Linked DNA regions of Diceros bicornis minor. The protein of the gene in region 1 interacts with the protein of each later gene in a pairwise test. Links are inferred from orthologs where the notes say so. Each region holds a gene or a part of one and is shown in the gene's direction. Other genes may lie near its edges.

Region 1 (3,746 bases):
ACGGAGTGCCTGACTCTGCTAGTGAAGTGTTTGTCAAAAAAGGTTACTAGAGTGTCACCAGACACTAATGACTCTTAGGCCGCTGGGGGGCTCACCTGGATTCCTATGCATGTGGTGGCGTAACATGTCTGGCATAAACATAACAGACATTTAGCCCCAGGTTTTCAAAAGGGGACGCTGCTCCAGGGGACATGAAGCAGCATGCTAGAACCAGCCAAGAGGAAAGGTGTCCTCCGCGCGTCCCCATCGCCTCCTTCTTGCTCGTTAGAGAAGCGAGGCCAAAACTGAGGCCGAGCCTTCCATCTGGTGACCCAGAAACTGAAAGCAACCAGAAGCGGGAGAAGCACACGCAGGCCAGATTGGAAATAGAACCGCTGCCGAGAGCCGGGAGAGTCAGACGCTCCGCTTGTTACCTAAAACCAGAGGGGGGATGCAGAAGCCACACGTGGACCCAGGCGTGCCTCGCCTTCGGTTCCCCGCTGAGGCGAGGCCAGGAATGGAAGGAATTCTCCCCTGCAGCCCCCAGCCTAGAACAGCCACTGCCGTCTCCAAGGCCGCTCTCGGGGAAAAAGGCCAGAAAGCACGTACTGGCTCCTTTAAGGCTCCTCCTAGCCCGCCCTCTCCCGCCCACGTGACCCGGGGCGGCCGCGCGCCGGCTCGGCCCCCCGCGCAAGCGGCGATGGCGGCGGCGGCGGGAGCTGCAGCGGCGGCGGCCGCCGAGGTGCGGAAGGGGAGGGGGAGAGGCGGGTGCATGCCCGCGCGCGCGCCCGGGGGAAGCGCGCGCCCGTGCAATGCTCCGGGGGTGCAACGGGGCCGGGGGGCCCGGGCGGGACTTGCAGCAATCCGGAGGGCCAGCACTGGGGGCGGATGAGGGGACCAGGGGGTGGGAGGTGGGGGGAGTGGGCACGGAGGCGCGCGTGCAGCCGCCGGCTGCCCCCGAGTGGGTGGCGGGCGCCGGGGCCCCAGGAGCACGCGCGAGGGGCACGAGGGGCCGTCCACCGGGCTGGGGGGCAGCGGGCGCTGGAGGGGTTGGTGCCCGGGGTCCCCGCGGCCTGGGGGACAAAGGGGGAGCGGCGCGTGCAGCCGGGAGGAGGGGGCGGGGCCGGGGCGCGGAGGCCCCGCCCCCTCCCCCTTCTCTCTTCTCGGCCCCTGAGATGCGGGGTCTACCGAGAGGGAGGGGGTTGATGCGGGCCCGGGGGAGAGGTCGTGCGGCCCCTCCGGGCAGCCGAGGCCGCGGAAGGGGGGGCCCCCATAGAGGAAGAGGTAGGCCCCGGAGCCTACTCTCTCTTCCCAGGGCCCAGGCGTCCTGGGCCCCCCAACTTCCTACTGGGCTGACCAGTCCTCCTATCCCTTGTGTCCCCTCCCAGGGGGAGGCCCCCGCTGAGATGGGGGCGCTGGTGCTGGAGAAGGAGCCCAGAGGAGCCAGCGACAGAGGTGAGTTTCTGGCAGAAACGGCCCGGTTGGACCTTCACCTCCCACAGCACAGGATTCCTTGAGCCCTTAAACCTGAACTTTTTTCTTCCCTTTCAGTTCATGGCTCTTTGGGGGACACCCCTCGTAGTGAGGAGACCCTGCCCAAGGCCAACCCCGACTCCCTGGAGCCTACTGGCGCGTCATCCCCAGCCTCTGTCACCGTGACCGTTGGTGATGAGGGGGCTGACACTCCTGTAGGGGCCACACCGCTTATTGGGGATGAACCGGAGAATCTCGAGGGAGATGGGGGCCGCATCCTGCTGGGTGAGAGGCTGGGGAGTCTAGGGGGTGAGGTGGGGTATCCTCTGACTCTGCCTTCCCTCTTATCTTGCCTTCTGCCTGCCTGCCCTGTCTGTTTTCCAGGCCATGCCACAAAGTCCTTCCCGTCTTCTCCCAGCAAGGGGGGTGCCTGTCCCAGCCGGGCCAAGATGTCAATGACAGGGGCTGGAAAATCACCCCCATCAGTCCAGAGTTTGGCTATGAGGCTGCTGAGTATGCCGGGGGCCCAGGGGGCAGTAGCAGCAGGGCCTGAACCCCCTCCAGCTACAACCAGCCCAGAGGGGCAGCCCAAGGTCCACCGAGCCAGGAAAACCATGTCCAAACCAGGCAATGGACAGGTGAGGATTGGGGGAGGGCTGCTGGGAGTGGGAGAGACAGGGGTAATCAACCGTAAACCCCTTGTGGGCTTTTCTACAATTTAGCTTTAAGCGGTCTCTAATCTATTCACAGCCTGATGTATTTACCAAGGGGCTACTGTGTGTCAAATTCTAGGCTGGGGCTTAATCTGTGAACAGACATATTCCTTCCTGTCTTTCTGGAGTTAACATTCTTGGGGAGAGGGGAGTAGAAGAGAGAAATGTCAATGAGCTAATTATGTAGTTAATGCCTTAATTACTCTTATGGTAATGACTATGTAAAGAAACTTTAAACCACTCTTCCTTTCTACCTCAAAGCAAGTCTCAAGGGAACTTTTCCTCCCTTCTTTGAAGCTGCCCCTGCTCCATTTTTAAAGATTTTACTATAAATCTCTACAGGGAAGGAGATGAGGGCCACAGAAATGACAGAGGAGGAAAATGACAAAGGCCCCAGAATCTCAGAAGCTTTATGACAGTGTTCTTAGGGTTCTGCATATCATTTTGTTCTGGGTGTGGTTTGGGTAGCTTTGGTGAAGGCCTTAACCTTCGTTTTCTCACCTGTAAAATGGGGAGAAAGGGCTTGCTTCTGTGTGAAGAGGTGAGTGAGTGTTAGGTATGGGATGTGCTTGACACACTTCCTCCCAGGATACAGCAGTTCATGTTCTGGTTACTGGAGCTTCAGAGGGCATTTTTGAGGGTGTGGCTCACCACCCCACCCCCACTTGGGGTTCCAGGCTAAAGGCTCCCTGACCTTAAATGTGCTCCCTCTTGCCCCCAGCCCCTAGTCCCTGAGAAGCGGCCCCCTGAAGTGCAGCATTTCCGCATGAGTGATGATGTGCACTCGTTGGGGAAGGTGACCTCAGGTCAGTCCCACCCCCCACCCACCTGAGGCTTGGTCTGGCCTGTCCTGACAGGTTAGAGCACAGACCTCACGCCTTTCTCTCTCTCCTTCCAGATGTGGCCAAGAGGAGGAAGCTGAATTCAGGAGGTGGCCTGGTGAGCCAGGAGAGGCAGGGAACAAGCCCTCTCCGCCTGGGGGGCTGCCCTTCCAGGAAATGGGAGGTTGATGGGTGGGGGGGAGCAGCTTCAATTTTTTTATCTTTTTCTAGTCGGAGGAGTTGGGTTCTGCCCGGGGTTCGGGAGAAGTGACCCTGGAGAAGGGGAACCCCGGGTCCCTGGAGGAGTGGGAGACAGTAGTAGGTGACGACTTCAGCCTCTACTACGATTCCTACTCTGTGGATGAGCGTGTGGACTCTGACAGCAAGGTGAGAGGGAGCGGCTGCCCTCCTGGCCAGCACCTCACCTCATCCAGGGCTTGCTCTCCAGTCTTGCCTGCCCCCTTTTTCTCTCTTTCCTTCTTATCTTCTGAACAGCCACTAATTTACTGCCGCATCCTGTCTATAACTTATTTCCAGTGTGTGTTCCACGCCATTCCATCCCTTTACCTCTCTCCACAGTGGTGACCACCATCGTGGACTTTGGGTTCAGCACCCCATTTTATGGTTTATTTGTTATTTGTTTTTTCTTTTGCTTTTTGTTTGGTTTTGTCTCATACATGTTTGATTATGTGATATAGTGCTTAGTCTTGCCTGTCTTGCTTTCATTTAACGTTTTATTATGGAAACTTGCAGATATACA
Region 2 (3,746 bases), on another chromosome or scaffold:
GTAGATGCGCCAGGCCTGTTACAAAGGACATCAGTGGCGAAGCAAAAAAACTATCCCACTGCCAATTCGGTTGCGCAGTGCCTCCGCGCTCAGCCTTCGCCTCGCTCTCAGCCTCCGCCGGGGACTCTGGAGTGATTCGGGTCAGTGTTCGGTCCTGCGGTGCAGACCCTGAACACTGCCTCCCTGTGACCTCCTAATGGTAAAAACATTTTTTTTAAGCCTCTAAATTCCTTCTTTAAGAAAAACTTGCCCACAAGGGCAGTAAGTAAAGTGAATGAGCGAAGAGATGCTCAGGATTTTTTTTCTTAATTTATAATGTTAATTTCCGTTTTGGAGATGATCGCGAGAGTGAAACCGAGACTGAGGGCTGCTTCTTCCCTTCTGCGTCATCCCACTCCCCCGCCCCCATGCTGAGGGCTCCTGGGGTTCCCAACAGTTGCGCCTTGGTGACGGGAACACCTGGCTCACCGGCGCTTGGATCACAGAGCAGGGGGACCTTGCGGACCACTTAGGCGCATGCCCGCATTTTTGCAGATGAAGTAGCAGGACCAGAAGATCACTCTGGCTCGGGGCTGAGTTCCTGGCTTGAAGCCCGTGTCTAGTGCGGGGCAGCCCTCTTCCTTTCCCACAGGGGAGCGAGAACTCTTAAAGGGTGTGGGAACTACTGGAGTGTGAGGGTATGCATTGCGCAAATGGGTCATTTTGGGAAGCTGTGGACTTACTTCCCTTCTCTGGATATTCAGCATTTAACAGGGGAGAGGGTGACATTTGCTGGTGTGGCTCAGGCTCCATGCCAGCCGGATGTCTCAGAACTTTCAGATCACATACCTGAGTAAACATCTCCATGCCCTGCACCGTCCGCTAGGGGAGCCACATCCACAGTGGCTATTAAGTTAATTAGAATTAAAAAGAATAAAACATTCAGTTCCTCCATCACACTGGCCACATTTCAAATGCTCAGTGTGGTTCCCAAATTGGACAGCGAAGAATAGAACATTTCCATCATCACAGAAAGTCCCACGGGACAGCGCGGCTGAGTCCCTGGATCTCCAAGTGTGGCCCAGCATCAGCCTCCCCCGAAAACTTGTTAGCAATGCAGATTCTCGGCTGGCCCCTGATCTGCAGCATCAGATCCTTGGAGTGGGCCAAGCCCCCAGCCCCCAGCCCCCAGCCCCCAGCCCCCAGCCCTGTGGTGTGTTCACAAGCCCCCCACTCGCCGGAGACTCTGATGCAGCTTGAATCTGAGGACCACTGTGTGAGTCACCGGAAAGCGTGTCGATTTTTCGGTTTCATTTCTGTGGTCAGGCCATTAGTTTCATTTCTCTGGCTGTCGGCAAAGGGAAAATAGCGTGGGGAGGAGGGGTTCACACACCAGATAAAAGGGAATCAGAGCAAGGGAGAGATATGAGTTGCCTGGTCTCTGATCTGGAGGCGCACAGGTAAGAGTGGGCTGGTGCGGGGGTGTGTTCATGCAGCAGAGGTGCCTTTTAAAAGGATTTCCCTGTAAACGTGGCTTGTGCCGGAAGGCAGGAGCCATAAAGATAAGTTTCTGCAGCTGCTCCCGAGAGACTCAGAAACGCCCGTGTTGCCGCTGGCCCCCAGCCAACCCTGCATGCAGAGGGCAGATTCTAGGAGAGAAGTGGCTGGTCTGGGAGCACAGGGCGGCCCCCCTTCCCAAATCTGGCCAAAAGCCTTGTGGCCACGAAGGGGTGGATTTTGGGACACCTTTGCTGGGCATCCGTGGAGTGCACACATCCGGGCATTGGGCGGGAGCTTTGTGCCCCGGAGACATTGTGATTTATAATAAGAAATATATTAGCTGTAGTCACCATGCTGTATGTTACATTCCCATAGTTAATACTCTATTGCATGTTTGAAAGTTGCTAAGAGAGTAGATCTTAAAAGTCCTCATCACAAGAAAGAGTGTTGTAACTATGTATGGAGCCCAGTGTTAACTAGACTTATTGTGGTGATCATTTCGCAATATATACAAACACTGGGGGAAAAAAGGAAATGTATTATTTGGTCTTCATCCTCTTTCCTGCCACAGAACTCCTAAAACTCTTGAAATTTCCTAAGTGAAAGGAGCATTATCTTTTGTTATGTTAATGAGGTGACTTGTGGAATGCACCTTAGGATGGGGGCTGGTCGCCAGGAGAACCAGCCCTGTGATTGGAGAGTGGGCACCTCGGTCCCACCCCTGAACCCTGGGAGTGGGTCTGGAGGTTGAATCAATCTCCAATGGCCAATGATGTAATCAATCATGCCTATGGAATGGAGCCTCCATAAAAACCCCAAAGGACAGGGTTAGGAGAGCTTCCAGGTTGGTGAACACGGGGAGATTTGGGGAGAGCGGTGCTTGTGGAGAGGGCATGGGAGCTCTGCACTCTTTCCCCATCCCTTGCCCTATGCATCTCTTCCATCTAGCTGTTCCTGAGTTATATCCTTTTATAATAAACTCATAATCCAGTAAGGAAAATGTTTATCTGAGTTCTGTGAGCTGCTCTAGCACATTATTCAAACCCAAGCAGGGGTGGTGGGAACCTCCCATCTATAGCCCATTGGTCAGAAGCACAGGTGACAACCTGGCCTTGTGATTGGCATCTGAAGTGGGCGGGATGAGGGGGCGGGAGGCGGAGCCAGCTGGTAGGACTGAGTCCTTACCCTGTGGAATCTGATACTATCTCCTGTAGATAGTGTCGGAATTGAGTTAATTGCTTGGTGGTGTCGGAAAAAAAACCCACATCGGAATTGGTGTCAGAATTGGAGCCCCAAAGCCTACGTTCAGGGCTTCAGGAGGCCCCTTGCTTGTGGTATTGGTGGCACAGGCCACCCTCAGTGGTGTGCTGGAAAGGTGGCTCTGCTGAGGGAGAGGGCACCTGATTTCTAGCATTTGTTTCTTCCCTATTGTAACATACAGAGTTAAATTATTATGCCTTCAAATTTTTAGAAAGAGACATTGATTCCACCTCTTCCCAGCAAAGGAAGACATTTAGGGGAACAGGTTAGGTACAAACCAAGAAGTATTAGGTTCCTGGGGCTGCCGTAAGAAACACCACAAACTCGGTGGTGTAAACAACAGAAATGTAATCTCTCCTGGGTCTGGAGGCTGGCAGTCTGAGATCAAGGCGTCAGCGGGTTTTGGTTCCTTCTGAGACTGCATAGAATCCTTCCTGGCTTCTTCCAGCTTCTGGTTGTTGCCAGCAATCCTTGGCATCACTGGGGGAGATTATCTCAGGACACTGGTGGCCTCTCCAGGTCACGCCACTAGCAGGAAGAAGAAATTCAGGCCACACGGTCTCCCATGATATGTGACCAATTCTGGAAGGTTTTGCAGGACAATCAGACTTTTATCTCTTCCCCTGTGGTTCACATAGAACCACGGGGCTAAGCCGAGAATAGAATGAAGGTTTAGACTTGGATCCGTGAGTAATAACATCTTCCTCTTTCCTGGAAGCTGCTGAAATCTCAGGGAGCCAGATTTTTCTTGTTATATTCTGCTTTTAGGAGAAACTAATTTCCTAATTAGTAAGAAAGGAGACAAAATAGTCCCACAGGTCTGTCTGGGGATCTTCCAGATTCAGCACAAGGTGCCAGGTCAAAGGAGGAGAAATTTTCTAATTAACTGCAGTGTTCTCCATTCTGCCGGCGTGAGCCTGCGCGGCTGTGGAACTCAGCAGAACCCGGGGCCAGGGCAGGTCAGGAGGCCAGGCCCTGGGCCAGGAGATGGGCCCAGGGTGCTGGGA

The links. The genes of interacting proteins can lie anywhere in the genome.
Region 2: the proteins of EHMT2 (region 1) and MX2 interact in binary tests that used the Homo sapiens proteins (3 or more experiments, as listed by UniProt). The two-hybrid records come from large-scale screens. The link is inferred for Diceros bicornis minor from reciprocal best matches to the Homo sapiens genes EHMT2 and MX2.

What each region holds. Positions count from the first base shown.
Region 1 is NC_080753.1:32,917,013-32,920,758, forward strand, and holds the start of EHMT2 (histone-lysine N-methyltransferase EHMT2), read left to right. Parts: upstream 1-1,133; 5' UTR 1,134-1,154; coding exon 1,155-1,434; intron 1,435-1,530; coding exon 1,531-1,737; intron 1,738-1,836; coding exon 1,837-2,090; intron 2,091-2,886; coding exon 2,887-2,971; intron 2,972-3,063; coding exon 3,064-3,104; intron 3,105-3,217; coding exon 3,218-3,373; intron 3,374-3,746. UniProt on the Homo sapiens protein: Histone methyltransferase that specifically mono- and dimethylates 'Lys-9' of histone H3 (H3K9me1 and H3K9me2, respectively) in euchromatin.
Region 2 is NC_080766.1:41,125,587-41,129,332, forward strand, and holds the start of MX2 (interferon-induced GTP-binding protein Mx2), read left to right. Parts: upstream 1-1,172; 5' UTR 1,173-1,255; intron 1,256-1,284; exon of another isoform or gene 1,285-1,439; intron 1,440-3,746.